Mus musculus: one gene and its partners. The protein of the gene in region 1 purifies or fractionates together with the protein of each later gene. This does not show direct contact. Links are inferred from orthologs where the notes say so. Each region holds a gene or a part of one and is shown in the gene's direction. Other genes may lie near its edges.

Region 1 (4,142 bases):
AATCCAATAGATCCCCTCCACCCTAGCCGTGGGGTGTAGGGTCTGCAGGCTAACTCCCCGTTGAGAAGTTTCCTAGGGTAAACTGCTGACTTGGGATTCAACTCTGCTTCCCCCTGCCTGGTGAATGACCAGGTCCAGACAACATGGTGCACCGGTCCTTGGGCCCCTGGCCAGCCTTGGCTTTGTGCCCACTGTCCAGGCCTTTTCTCATCATGCTTTCAAACAGTGGGGCAGTAGGCCATGCCTCAAGTCTCCCGTGTTCAAGCTGAGAGCAGTCATACCTATGAAGAGTCCTTGGCTTTGCCAGCCTGTCCAATCTTCCCATCTCCTCCTTTTCTTCTCTCTGTTCTCTTTCTTATTCTTGTACAGCCACCAGTGCAGTAGGCCCCTTTGGACCCAAAGACTTTTTGGGGGGGTTGAGGGACTAGGCTGAACCCTCCCTTGGAATGCCTTCCCACCCCAGAGCACACTGAGAACCCCTCCCCCCAGATCATTCCAGAGACACAACCCGCACTTCCATTCCCGACGCTCAAGCATTGAGACTTCATAGAGCATTTTGGTTGTTATCTTCTCTTAAAAGCTGGGAACACTCCAGACTACCTACACATCCTGGCCCAGGCTGGGACCAGTGCAGCCCCTCCTTCCTCTGTGCCCCCTCTTCCCAGAAACTCATCATGGAGAGTAAGGATGAAGTCAGTGACTCCGACAGCGGCATCATCCTGCAGTCTGGTGAGTGGATCCAGGAAATTCCCCTGCCCTGCTCCCTGACTCCAGAGTGAGTCCCTAGGCCCTGGGCTAGCTGGGCTAGACCTCCCAAAGGGCTGGGGAGAGGAGGGAACGGAGGGGTTCCTGCTGGAGAAGTGGAACGGCTGGAAGATCTGGCACCTCAAGGAACTGCCGTTTTCCTTGCTGGAAGGCACCAACCAGCCAGGAGTTCCTGTCCTATCTGGAGCAGAGATCAGTTTTGTCCATCTTCAGCTCCAATGCTTACTAAGAAGTGGGAACACTGTATCTTGCTGGTGTTAATGTCCCATCCCTACTACGCTTGAGCCCGTGGGTCTAGTCTGGCCTGGTTTTGATAGAGGACGGGAGAGGAGGAGGAAGAGAAGACACATGGGCCCCTCCCACACCCAGGTCACCCTGGTGGGACAGCTCTCCCTTTGAACTATAGCAGCCAGGAGACATGATGTGGCTGTGACACAAGCCATAACGGCTAGCCTGTAATTTGTGGGCAAGCATGAGACGGTATGGGTGTGCACTCCCCCAGAGGTGGCCAACAGTGTCCTAGGGATGCCTTGCTTCAGCGTTCCTGAGCAGGTGTCTCTTATCTCCCTGCAGGCCCGGACAGCCCTGTCTCTCCAATGAAAGAGCTGACCAATGCAGTACGCAAGCAGCAGAGGGCTCTGGAAGCGAGGCTGGAGGCCTGCCTGGAGGAGCTGCGCAGACTCTGCCTGAGGGAGGCGGTGAGGTTCCTAAGTCCCTGCCCCCCCAAACTTAGCATTCATCTGAGGAGTCTCAAAACTATACCAAGGGGAAAACCCTTCTAGGGGATTGGAAATTAGACTGAGGTGTGGGCCTAGAGTTTCTGTCATTCGGGTTTGACCTGGACACTGGGTAGACCTGAGTAGGGTCTCAAGTACAGGAAAGGAAGCGATGAGGGGATGTGCAGAGGGGCCAAAGAGATGGAAGCGCATTTGATAGCTGTACCTTGGGTCAGGGTGGCCCTCAGGAGGAAGCGACCAGAGGGGATAAGAAGGCAAAGGGAGAAGAAGTGTTCTTCAAGGATGCGGGAGGAAGACAACTGTGGCAGATGGGACGAGGTGGGCAGAGGTACAAGTGTCCCGCCATTTTAGGGGCCTCTGGAATATCAGGTCCATGCAGTGTGGAGCTGGGTGGGAAGTTTTAAATGATCGGTCAAGGGCTGGGCAAGCAGAGAGGGGTGAAGGGGCCCGACTTGACTCTGCCCCCCTCTAGGAGCTGACTGGGACTTTGCCGGCAGAGTATCCCCTTAAGCCTGGTGAGAAGGCCCCCAAGGTCCGGCGCAGGATCGGAGCAGCGTACAAGCTGGATGAGTGGGCCCTCCACAGAGAGGTGAGGAACGTCAGAGGAGGTGGTCGCTGTACCTCATCCCCAAAGGCTGACTACCAGCAGTGCACTGGCAATCCCTGTCATCCATGTGGGCGGTGGCCAATCCCAGGCTTCTCAGGAGTGGTCCAGATGGCTCTGAGTAGGCATGCCACCTCAGCAGCTTGGCCCCTGTGGCAGAGGATTAAAAAGACCAATAACCAGCTCAAAAAGCCAGTTGCCTATTCAGGGAGGTTGGTGTGGCACGAGGCCTATCCTTTCTCAGCCTAGGTGGAAGGGAGTAGGGTCACTCCAACCCTAGATGACCTTCCTCTTGGAGAGATTTTTGTAGGTTGACATGCTTGGTCCTTTGGGGTCAGGAAGGAAAGTGACCTACTTAAGTCTTCTCCCAGCCCGGCACAGCAGGTAGCAGGGGGTGGGACGATTGTGGCAACTTTTCATGGTGACAAGTTGGCTCTGGGCTGCTCCCAGTGCCCCACCTTTTGCTGTGTATCCCTGGACACTGCAGTCTGCTCACAACTGGGTCAGAGTCTCTTGGAGATTTCTGTCCTCTAAGCGCCGAGGACCCTCTTAGCCCTCACCCCCAACCCCTCCCTCAGGACCCCCTGAGCAGCCTAGAGCGCCAGTTGGCTCTGCAGCTTCAGATCACCGAGGCGGCTCGAAGGCTGTGTGCAGAGGAGAACCTCAGCAGACAGGCACGCAGGCAGCGGAAGCACGCTGCGCTGCAGGAGGAGAAGAAGCTGCGGGACCTTCAGCGTTGCCTGGGTGATCGGCGGCGGAACAGTGAGCCCCCTCCTACCACTGTGCCCTCCCTGGGCAGAGGTGAGCCCATTGTCCTGAGCCATGAAAGCCTCACACAGCTCTTGTGGGACGGCCAGTGTGGCCCTGCGTTATGCTTTCGATAGCGCCTGTGCTAATACTGTTTCTCGTCAGCGCCATCAGGGTACTCCTTTCTGGGTCCAAACAGGTCCTTTCTTACCTATGTACCCGACAAGGCATCTCCACTCTGGGAGACCTTCATTCCGCTTGCATCTCTCACGTAGTGTACCGCTCCCACAAGACTTTATAGACAGAAGGCTTTTCTCTGTTTGATAGTAATCCAAGTGTTTATTCAAACTCAAATACTATCTTGAGGGAGAAAAGTTCAGTAGGCAGAAGGCTCTGCAGCGATGCTCGTTCAGCATCTTTAGGGAATTGCTGTTGCTATGGGTAGCCAATGACTGATGGGTTCAGGGCCACATACGCATGGGTGTTTAGACTGAAATCCAGTCATAACTCTACAGTCCCGTCAGTGTCTGCAACTGGTCAAGAGTGCTGAACCGTTCTTGTAGCCTAGTGACTGAGCCCTGACCCAGAGATGAGGCTGCGGGGCACCTCAGAACCAGAGCCAGCCAAATGACTTCAGTGTGCCCGGTCTGGTGAGCTTCTAGTGCTTTTGAACCCTGAGATGGGACCGTTTTCTTTGTCCTGACCCAAATCCTGTCAAGTTGGGACTTGTAGCCTCCATTCCTCCAGTCCCAGATCAGCTCTGGAGTCAGTCTCTTGCTTGGCTGTGTCTTAAGGAAGTGGTAAGAGGGACAAGCTGCTCTTTACCCAGAGCCTCAGGCTCAGCCTGGGGAGCAAGCAGGCTTCCCCATGTCCTGGTCCATACTCGAATATCAGCTGGTTCTTGCCCTGCAATTCTCTTCTCTGGCTGGACACAGTAGAAGCTTCAAGGTCCTCCCCACCCCCTATGCTGTGTGCCTCAGGCAGGCATTGCTTTCAGTACCTGTGACCTCCAGGACAAAGCGTCTGAACAGACACCAGCCAGGCCACCCTTGGAAGCCTGGCGTAGATGGCAAGGAACAACGTGTTCTTCCATGTCTTGACTGACCAGGAAAACTGGGCTTAGTGGCCAAACCCTATTCTGCTTTCAGTGGCTCTGGCCCTAATATAGGACATCACTGTCACTCGCCAAGACTCTAAGGAAAAAGTCATTCTCAGTTCTTCATTTTCCACAGGCCCTGGGTATGGTAAGGCACATGCTGATGGAGGTATAATGGTCCCCGAGGGCCACC
Region 2 (4,142 bases), on another chromosome or scaffold:
GGCAGTCTGTGTCCTTTGAATAGACAGACAAGCATACTTGTTGGATTCTAACTATATACCATGTGCCTGCTTGGTAAGGGCAGAATAACAAATTTAAACGAAGATAAATAAAACCGATGGGTAAACAGTGCCTTCCCACAGTTGTGGACTTGACTCGGAGGCCAGGGCGGAGGGTGTCCCACAGGGCAAGAGCTGAGTGAAGCTACATACAATACATTCAGAGCTGGGGATCTGAGCTGCTTCAGACGGCACGCAGGGGCCGCCTGGTCCTCAGGAAAGATGGTTGTGTGGCTTGGCTTGAGGGGCCTCCTAGTCACTGTCACTGCCAAAGTAAATGTTGCTTCACAGGCCACGATTGTCCTAGACAATGGCTCCTTTCTAGGAACTTGTTTAAGTTTGAACTTGTTGGCACATACATAATAGGGTTCTGAATATAATGTCTTTGTACTTGAGAGGTAATTGGTGGCTGTTTGGCTGTCAGGTTAGCCTGCATTCTTGGAAAATTCTGCAAACCAGAGAAGTCCTTTATCTAAAGAGTGAGAGTGGGTATCGTGTGGACAGAGTGATTGTACTGCTTAATAACACGGCCCCTTCCCTGAACTCTGACTGCAGAGAGGTGGGGAAGCCAGCCACAGGGGGTTGAGCCTTTTCTGTCCCCTCCGTTTCTGATGTCTCTGAGTTGGGCCTTGTTCTTAGGGCTTCATGTTGCTCTTTTAAAAAGAATCGTAACTAGCCGGGCGTGGTGGCGCACGCCTTTAATCCCAGCACTCGGGAGGCAGAGGCAGGCGGATTTCTGAGTTCAAGGCCAGCCTGGTCTACAAAGTGAGTTCCAGGACAGCCAGGGCTACACAGAGAAACCCTGTCTCGAAAAACCAAAAAACAAAAGAGAATCGTAACTAATCATCACTTTGAATTTTTATTATTTTAAATGATGTATATGTGTGTGTATCTATGGACATGAGTGCAGGTGCCCACAGGCCAGAGGAATGGGACCCCCTCGAGCTAGACTTAAGTGGTGTGAGCCATCTGATGTGTGTGCACGGATTGAACTTAGGTTCTCTGGAAGAGGGTAGCACAGTGTGTTAACTTCTAAGCCGTTTCTCTAGCCCTGAGGGGCTTCATCTTTTATGAAGTGACAGTCATGAGACTGGTTGGCAAACCTGATGTCAACTTAGACATATCCAAGTCTCTGCTCCCCTCAGAATGCAGGCTACCCATGCGTCTGGTTATATGTGATGACCACATGGTTTAGCTAAGGACCCCGGCTTGCCTGTCCATGCTTTTGTATTGTTTACTCCCTTCTTGATTTTTTACACAGATACTCAAGAGCCTGCCTAGTTAGACACATGTGATATGTGTGATGAGAGGTGGAGATTGTGTGTGGGCGAGCATGAGTGTGGGCGTACATGAATATGCGTGTGCATGAGTGTGTGAGTACATGAGTGTGCGTGCATGAGTGTATGCTTGCTTGCCTGTGTTCTCTGTGCTGTGCTGCCTCTGGCATTGAGTCTACCTTACTGGTACAGATGTTGAGTTTGGGCCTTGTGATGCTCATATGAGTCCTTAGGAAAGCGTGTGCCTGGAGAAGATCGGATGTCTCTGAGCCTATGAGTATAGGAGAGTGAAGATACCCCATGACCTGGCTCCTTCTTTTCTAACAGAGGCTGAAATATGAAATTGCAGAAGTGATGACGGAGATTGACAACCTGACTTCAGTGGAGGAGAGGTAAAATGCTTGTGGCTGTTGAGACTCCTCCCCCTCTTTATTTCTGCCACCTCCTCCAGCCACTATAGCAGGAGCAAGGGCTGGGCTGGGAAGTTGGGCTTTTGGCCATCCTTCCTCATGCCTCCTGTGTCCTCGCCAACTTTGTAGGTGTGGGAGTAAGCAGAGGGACTCTGAGTTAACTCTGTATTATGAGAACAGGATTCTAAAGTCTTGCTTTGTAGCAAGGCCCTGCTTTTCACCATTAGCCTTTCTGAAGAAGTCTTACTGTTCATGAAAATGCAAAACGCTGCAGCAGTGTCACCTGTGGAGGGCAGTAGGGTCTGCGGGACACCACTGCCTTATGCCCAGGTTGACCTGAGATGGAAAAGGAACAGGGATGTGTGGTTCTGCTGTACTCTGTGAAATACTAATGATTTTTCAAAATTGTTTAAAACCAATAGCAAAACTACTCAGAGGAACAAGCAAATAGCCATGGGAAGGAAGAAATTCAACATGGACCCCAAAAAGGTGAGGAACAGTTCTGGCCTTCAGCATGCAAATGGCTGACTCCCATGGCCTTGTGAAAAGATGGAGTTGATGTTTCAGTTTGTCACAAGCACCTGGACCTTTCTCATGGTCTGGGGCTCTGGGTGCAGGCCTGTCGGTCACTTGCTGAGAGCCCCAGGTCTGCCCACCACATCCAAGGGCGTCAGGGCTTAGTCAGGCTGTGGTGAATCGCTTAGTAGGTTTCACTCGATGTCCCTTTTGACCTGAAAGTATTTTTATGAATTTTATGTTAATTACTGGTTCTATTCAACTATTTATAATTAAAGCTCATTTAGTCTGCACATGAATTTTTTTTAAATCATTTAGTATTGTAGACTTGGTTGTGATACTTGCTTTAGTCAGCTTGAGCTGTTATGGCAAAATACCACACCTTGAAAACCAGGTTGGTGGAGTGAGGCTGTAAGCCCAGTGCTGGAAGGTAGAAACAGGAGGGCCAGAGGATCCGAAGCTCACTGTCGTCTTGACCTACAAAGCCAACTGGAGGCTAGCCTGGGATGCATACAAACTGGCATGCATGGAAGTGAACACAGCACCCAGGCCAGGGATGGGAACCACAGAGATTTTCTTCTCACACTTCTCTGTTCAGCCTGCAGGTCTGAACCCATGGGTGCTTTCATGCTGTGTTCACTGAGGTCCCTCCTCTCCGTGCAGATGGCAGCCTTCTTTCTGAATTTTCATGTGCTGAGGCTGTGGAGGAAGCTGGGTTTGGAGTTCCTCTTCTCAGGCGCTGTATGCCCTGACCCACCCCGGCACCTCCAAATGAGCTTGTCTTACCTGATCACCCCACAGTCTCTGCCTTCACTGGCTGTCACAGGGTTGGGGCTTTGTGTGTGCATCTTGAGGGACATATACAATTAGTCCACAGACACAGTAGAAAATCTCACTTTGTAGCTCAGAACACTATTTATGCCTGTGTCATAGGGTGCCATGTCACCTCATGAAAGCACAAGGAAATGCCAGAGTGACTAGTCTCAGGTAGGAGGGACTGTCAGCCTCTGAGCGATGACACTTTAAGCAAAGAGCTTTGACTTTGTTCAGTGGGCTAGAGTCTAGAAGTAACACTAGAGTTTATAAATAAATCAGGAAAGGTTTGATTAGATCAAGGAAGTCTGGAGCTGTATTACCAGAGAATGCTGTGTCAGGCACAGTAGCGAAACAGTCTCTTCTAGGGTGTAAGGGGAGAAATGATTTAAAACTGAGAACTCTGTCCAGACTGTCCCTAATGGAAAAATCAAAGCAGTGACAGTTTTAGACATGCAGGGACTCAAAAAGTTAGTCACTAAGACCTTGTCTGAGTATTGAGAAACTGAGTAAATATACCTAAAACAAGAAACACACCCAGAATACAGAAGGTGCACAGAGCCAGGGGTGCTGTAACCCCAGTACTGGGGAGGCTAAGGCAGGAGGATCATCAAGTTCAGGGTCAGCCTAAACCACAGAATGTGATATGTGCCGTCTCCTAAAACAGCCACACAAAAGACAAAAAGAAACCAACAAACCCCAAGTCTAAACAAGAAGAGAGTTCTATGAAAAAATGTATTTTAGAAGACCCAAATTCGCTCAGTATATTTTATAAGAAAGGAGAGGAATAAAAACTGCTGAGGTTTTCTAGGTATTGAGAGGCACATACAGGTTTAAATGTCAAGATTTTGGGCTGCCATGAAAAGCAGGGTGAAACTAAGGTTTATACATTTCCAGAAGAAGGTGTGATCATGGCGGGTTTGGTGTGGTCGTGGCGGGTTTGGTGTGATCATGGCGGGTTTGGTGTGATCATGGCGGGTTTGGTGTGGTCATGGCGGGTTTGGTGTGGTCATGGCGGGTTTGGTGTGATCATGGCGGGTTTGGTGTGGTCATGGCGGGTTTGGTGTGG
Region 3 (4,142 bases), on another chromosome or scaffold:
CCTCTCATTTTCTGCCTCTATTCTTTTCTCAACTCCCCTTCCCATGCCCCCAAATAAACTGTATTCTATACTATACCCATCATATGGTTGGTACGCCCGCTGAGGTACCCCCTCCCACTGCACTATCCCATGCTCTATAAAAGATATCATTGGCATTATAAAACACATTAATGCTATTGTGATAGAAAAGTAAGTACTAGATGTGACCCAGAGCACCCAGTTAGAAGGTGGGCTTTGAGTGGGGGAAGGAGAGCGAAGGTGAAGTAGGTTACCTGCTGCAGTTAGCTCTGAGTGGCATAGCCTGAGGAGCCCGATGGTGCTGAGGAGAGCCCAGCATTCCCTAGCTCAGTTATTGAGACATGGGCAGGAGGAGCTGTGTCTCCTGTAGGTGTCCTCTCACACTGCAGGCGCAGAGGAGCAGCTCGGATCAGGTGTCCTGAGGCCAGCACTAAAATGCTTGGCAGGAAGAGGATAACTTCCCACGGGGTTTAGGGAACTATCAGAAAGACGTATTTGTTTGTTTTTCTTTTATACAATTATAGAACTGGATTTGGTTGGTTGGTTGGTTGGTTGGTGGGATTGCTTGTTATTGTCATATTGTGCCTGTGTCACTCTAATCAGTATGCTTGAGAAGCAACAGGTTTTGACCAAGGTTAGCTGGCTGGTAGGGGTAGAAGTCTGTCCATGGTAAGGGCCCTGGCTGATGAGATGCACAGTCCCAGAGAGGGCCAGTTGAGGTGGAGGGAGGGGTGAGATCTGTCTGTCTGGACCTGAGCTCCAGCACCAATATGGATCTTGGGGCCGCTGTCCAAAGGACAGTGTTTCCCTAAGGACACACATCTGGGTGATGGGCAGTGGGCAGGAGGCAATGGGAAGTTCAGTTGCAGTTCCTCCATCAGGCACGGGCAGGAGTACCTGGGCCTAGGCTGGGAAAGGCTCCCAGAAGCTAGTGGCACAGAACCAGGAGGAGGAAAAGGAAAAGGAAAGCCTGGCAAAGACATGGAGGAGGGGGAAGGCCCTTTCTTAGGGAAAATGGGCCAAAGTGTTCCTGCTTGAGACTCGTGGGTCATTCATTGTCAGGCATACTTTGATGGCACCTGCTGAGCCCTCTGGCCTTGTTATCTGTAAAAAGCTTTGGATTTTCCAGCCACACCACACACTCATGACCCTATTGTTAGAACCCAAGCATGGCCTGAACCAACCTAGGAGCTTCAGGGAGGAGTCAGGATGGGCCTAGGGAGGAAAACAGGTGTTTCCTCCACAGAGAGTAAAGCCTTTCTCTTGCACCTGTCCCAGGACAAAGAGCCCCGCGGGATTATCCCCCTGGAGAACCTGAGTATCCGAGAAGTGGAGGACTCCAAAAAGCCGGTGAGTGTCTTGCTCCTGTGCCCAGAGTGGGGAAACAGCTGGGATTATGACCTGGAGAACCTGAGACTCAAAGCCTTCACCTTTACCACCTCCACCATCTCTTCTGATTGTCCTTACTTTGCAAGTCTGTCTGCTTCGGTGCCACATGCTGACTTTGAACCAAGATCTAGGAACTGTCTCACAGCTGTGAGCACCCATAGCTTGGTGCCAGTTTTATAATTCCGATGCACTATATGGCTTGAAAGCAGCTCACCTGCAGCCCTGCACATGCTCCTATCTGTCAGGAGCGGAGCCAGCTGGTGTCAGGCCAGCCTTTCAGCCAGCGGGCCTGGAAACATAGTTGAAGTGTTCTATTCTAAGCTGCTTTTTTCCATAGGAAGAAATCGTGTCTATGTGCCCATGTGTGCATGTGGTGAACTTCATTGTCACTCTTCATTGTCACTGTCCACCTCATTTTCTGAGTCAGGGTCTCAGGCTGGGGAGATGGGTGGGTGGGGAAAACATGAGACAAGAGCTGGCAACACAAGAACCTGAGTTCAGACCCCAGAGAAGCTGGGTGTGATCATGTGTGTCTGTGACTTCCACAAGCCACGGGCTTGCTCACCTAGTGTGCAGTAGGAAAACAGCAAGGAGGCCCATCTCAAACAAGGTAGAAGACAAGGGCTGACACTGGAACTTAGTCCTCTTCATTCCATCCCCATACAGTACACTGCATTACACACACACATGCACACATACAAGACACACACACACACACAGTGAATATGTATGTAATTTTGTTTTTTGAGACTGCAGTCCTGGCTGTCCTAGAACTCTCTCTGTAGATAAGGCTGGCTTCAAACTCATAAATCTTCGTGCCTCTGCCTCCTTGAATCTGGGATTAAAAGCATGTACCACCATGCCTTGCTTCTTTTTTTGGCTTTTTAAAAAACAAATCCTTAAAAAGAGAGTCCCTGGAAGCTTGTAGGCCGAATAGCCTGATAAACATAACAGCCAGATCAAGAGATCTGCCTCATATAAGATGGAGGGTGACTTTGCTTGTCTTCTGACCACCACACTTGTCATGGCATGTGTTTGCCCACATTTACATACATGCACACACACACACCAACAGTGTATCTTACTGGGAACTGGGTTTTTCTGCTGGCCTGGCTGGCCAGCCCTAGAGTCCCAGCAGGCTCACAGCTTCCTCCTCCCATTGTTGGCATTGCAAGTCTATGTGTATGCCACACCTGGCTTGCTATTATATATTTATTTTTATTTATATGTTTGTTTGTTTAGTTTTGGTTTTCAAGTCAGGGTTTCTCTATGTAGCCCTGGCTGTCCTAGAACTGAGTTTGTAGACCAGGATGGCCTTGAACTGAGATCTACCTGACTCAGCCTCTCGAGTGCCAGGATTAAAGGTGTGCATCACCACACTCGGTCTACGCCTGGCTTTGTCGATTCAGGATCAAACTCAGCTCCTCGGCCTTCTATAGCAAGCACTTTACTAGCTGCCTTATGTCCGGTGGTCTCAGAAAGTGCATGCTCTGAAAGTGCTCTCTGACACATCTCTCTCGAGAGTAAAGACAAAGAGTCTTTTGGGAAATGAATAACATTTTCTTTGATCAGCAGCTTCCTGAAATCTTACTGCCACTTTCTCGTGTTCTCCTCAGAACTGCTTTGAGCTTTATATCCCTGACAATAAAGACCAGGTGATTAAGGCCTGTAAGACAGAGGCGGACGGGCGAGTGGTGGAAGGGAACCACACTGTGTACCGCATCTCAGCCCCAACTCCGGAAGAGAAGGAAGACTGGATCAAATGCATCAAGTAGGTGGCTCCCTCCCAGGCAAGCCGCTTACCCACTCACCTCATGAGGTCCTCTCCGCTGCACTTCCTGTCCTGCCAGCCCTGAAAGGCTGCAGGGAGGTTCCCAGCTTGCTTCCCAGCAGGCCTTTGGATTCCTGCCTGTTGGAAAATTAGTAAGCCCTGTCTCTAGCCTAGGTACCCAGACAGTCAAAGACCCAGAGCGGGGATGAGTGCCACTCACCCCCATTGTGAGAGGCATCTCTTCCTGTGGCAGCTCAGTGTGACGAGCACTGGGCTTTATTAGACCTCTCATCCAGTGAGACCATTCTCCAGTTTGAGACACAGAAACTGAGGCCCACAGGTTTTGAGAGTTATGAAAGGTTCCAGAGCCTTGATGCAAGGCCGTAAAGCAGAGCTCCAGCCCCTCCCATATGCTGTGAGAACACAGGCGCCTGAGTGAAGGGAGCCACTTAAAGTCCACCATTAATCACAGTCCCATGGGTGAGGTTTACCTCAGGGACAGGCCTGCCCAGGGTGGCATGTAACTGGAAACAGGCTTTGCAAAGCCCATTGGTAGCTTCGTCAGCCTTGTTCCCTAGGATTCATGTGAAGCCTGGGCTGACAGGCATCTTTCTCCTATCCCCAGGAAGACAGCCATTGAGCACTCTGGCTTCTCCACCCTCTTGGCAATTATTTCTCCCAGTAATGTATACCTAATCACAGTCCTGGTACTGTGGCCGTCAGGTGTTTTCCTCAGAGAGCTTTCCTTGTTATCTGGGCTTCGATGACCTAGGAAGTGAGGAGGGCGCGCCATCAGGCCACAGGCTATCTCAGTGCTCTCAGACATGAGAGTCTGATTTAGTGTAGTATTTTGGTCAAGATTAGGCAGAAAGTAAGTAAGTTCTGGATGTGGTGACAGTGTACCAGTTGGGAAGAGTTGATGCTTGACTCTGTAAAGATGCTGATCAAAATTCCTAGAGAAAGG

The links.
Region 2: the proteins of Inava (region 1) and Cyth3 purify together in Homo sapiens (co-immunoprecipitation; 3 studies listed by BioGRID and IntAct, counting the BioPlex papers as one, with this or other methods). This does not show direct contact. The link is inferred for Mus musculus from reciprocal best matches to the Homo sapiens genes INAVA and CYTH3.
Region 3: the proteins of Inava (region 1) and Cyth1 purify together in Homo sapiens (co-immunoprecipitation; 3 studies listed by BioGRID and IntAct, counting the BioPlex papers as one, with this or other methods). This does not show direct contact. The link is inferred for Mus musculus from reciprocal best matches to the Homo sapiens genes INAVA and CYTH1.

What each region holds. Positions count from the first base shown.
Region 1 is NC_000067.6:136,224,101-136,228,242, reverse strand, and holds part of Inava (innate immunity activator protein), read left to right. Parts: intron 1-580; coding exon 581-729; intron 730-1,338; coding exon 1,339-1,463; intron 1,464-1,974; coding exon 1,975-2,091; intron 2,092-2,684; coding exon 2,685-2,907; intron 2,908-4,142. UniProt on the Homo sapiens protein: Expressed in peripheral macrophages and intestinal myeloid-derived cells, is required for optimal PRR (pattern recognition receptor)-induced signaling, cytokine secretion, and bacterial clearance.
Region 2 is NC_000071.6:143,684,812-143,688,953, forward strand, and holds part of Cyth3 (cytohesin-3), read left to right. Parts: intron 1-1,661; coding exon 1,662-1,726; intron 1,727-2,166; coding exon 2,167-2,233; intron 2,234-4,142. UniProt on the Homo sapiens protein: Promotes guanine-nucleotide exchange on ARF1 and ARF6. Promotes the activation of ARF factors through replacement of GDP with GTP. Plays a role in the epithelial polarization.
Region 3 is NC_000077.6:118,168,052-118,172,193, reverse strand, and holds part of Cyth1 (cytohesin-1), read left to right. Parts: intron 1-1,296; coding exon 1,297-1,368; intron 1,369-3,023; coding exon 3,024-3,178; intron 3,179-4,142. UniProt on the Homo sapiens protein: Promotes guanine-nucleotide exchange on ARF1, ARF5 and ARF6. Promotes the activation of ARF factors through replacement of GDP with GTP.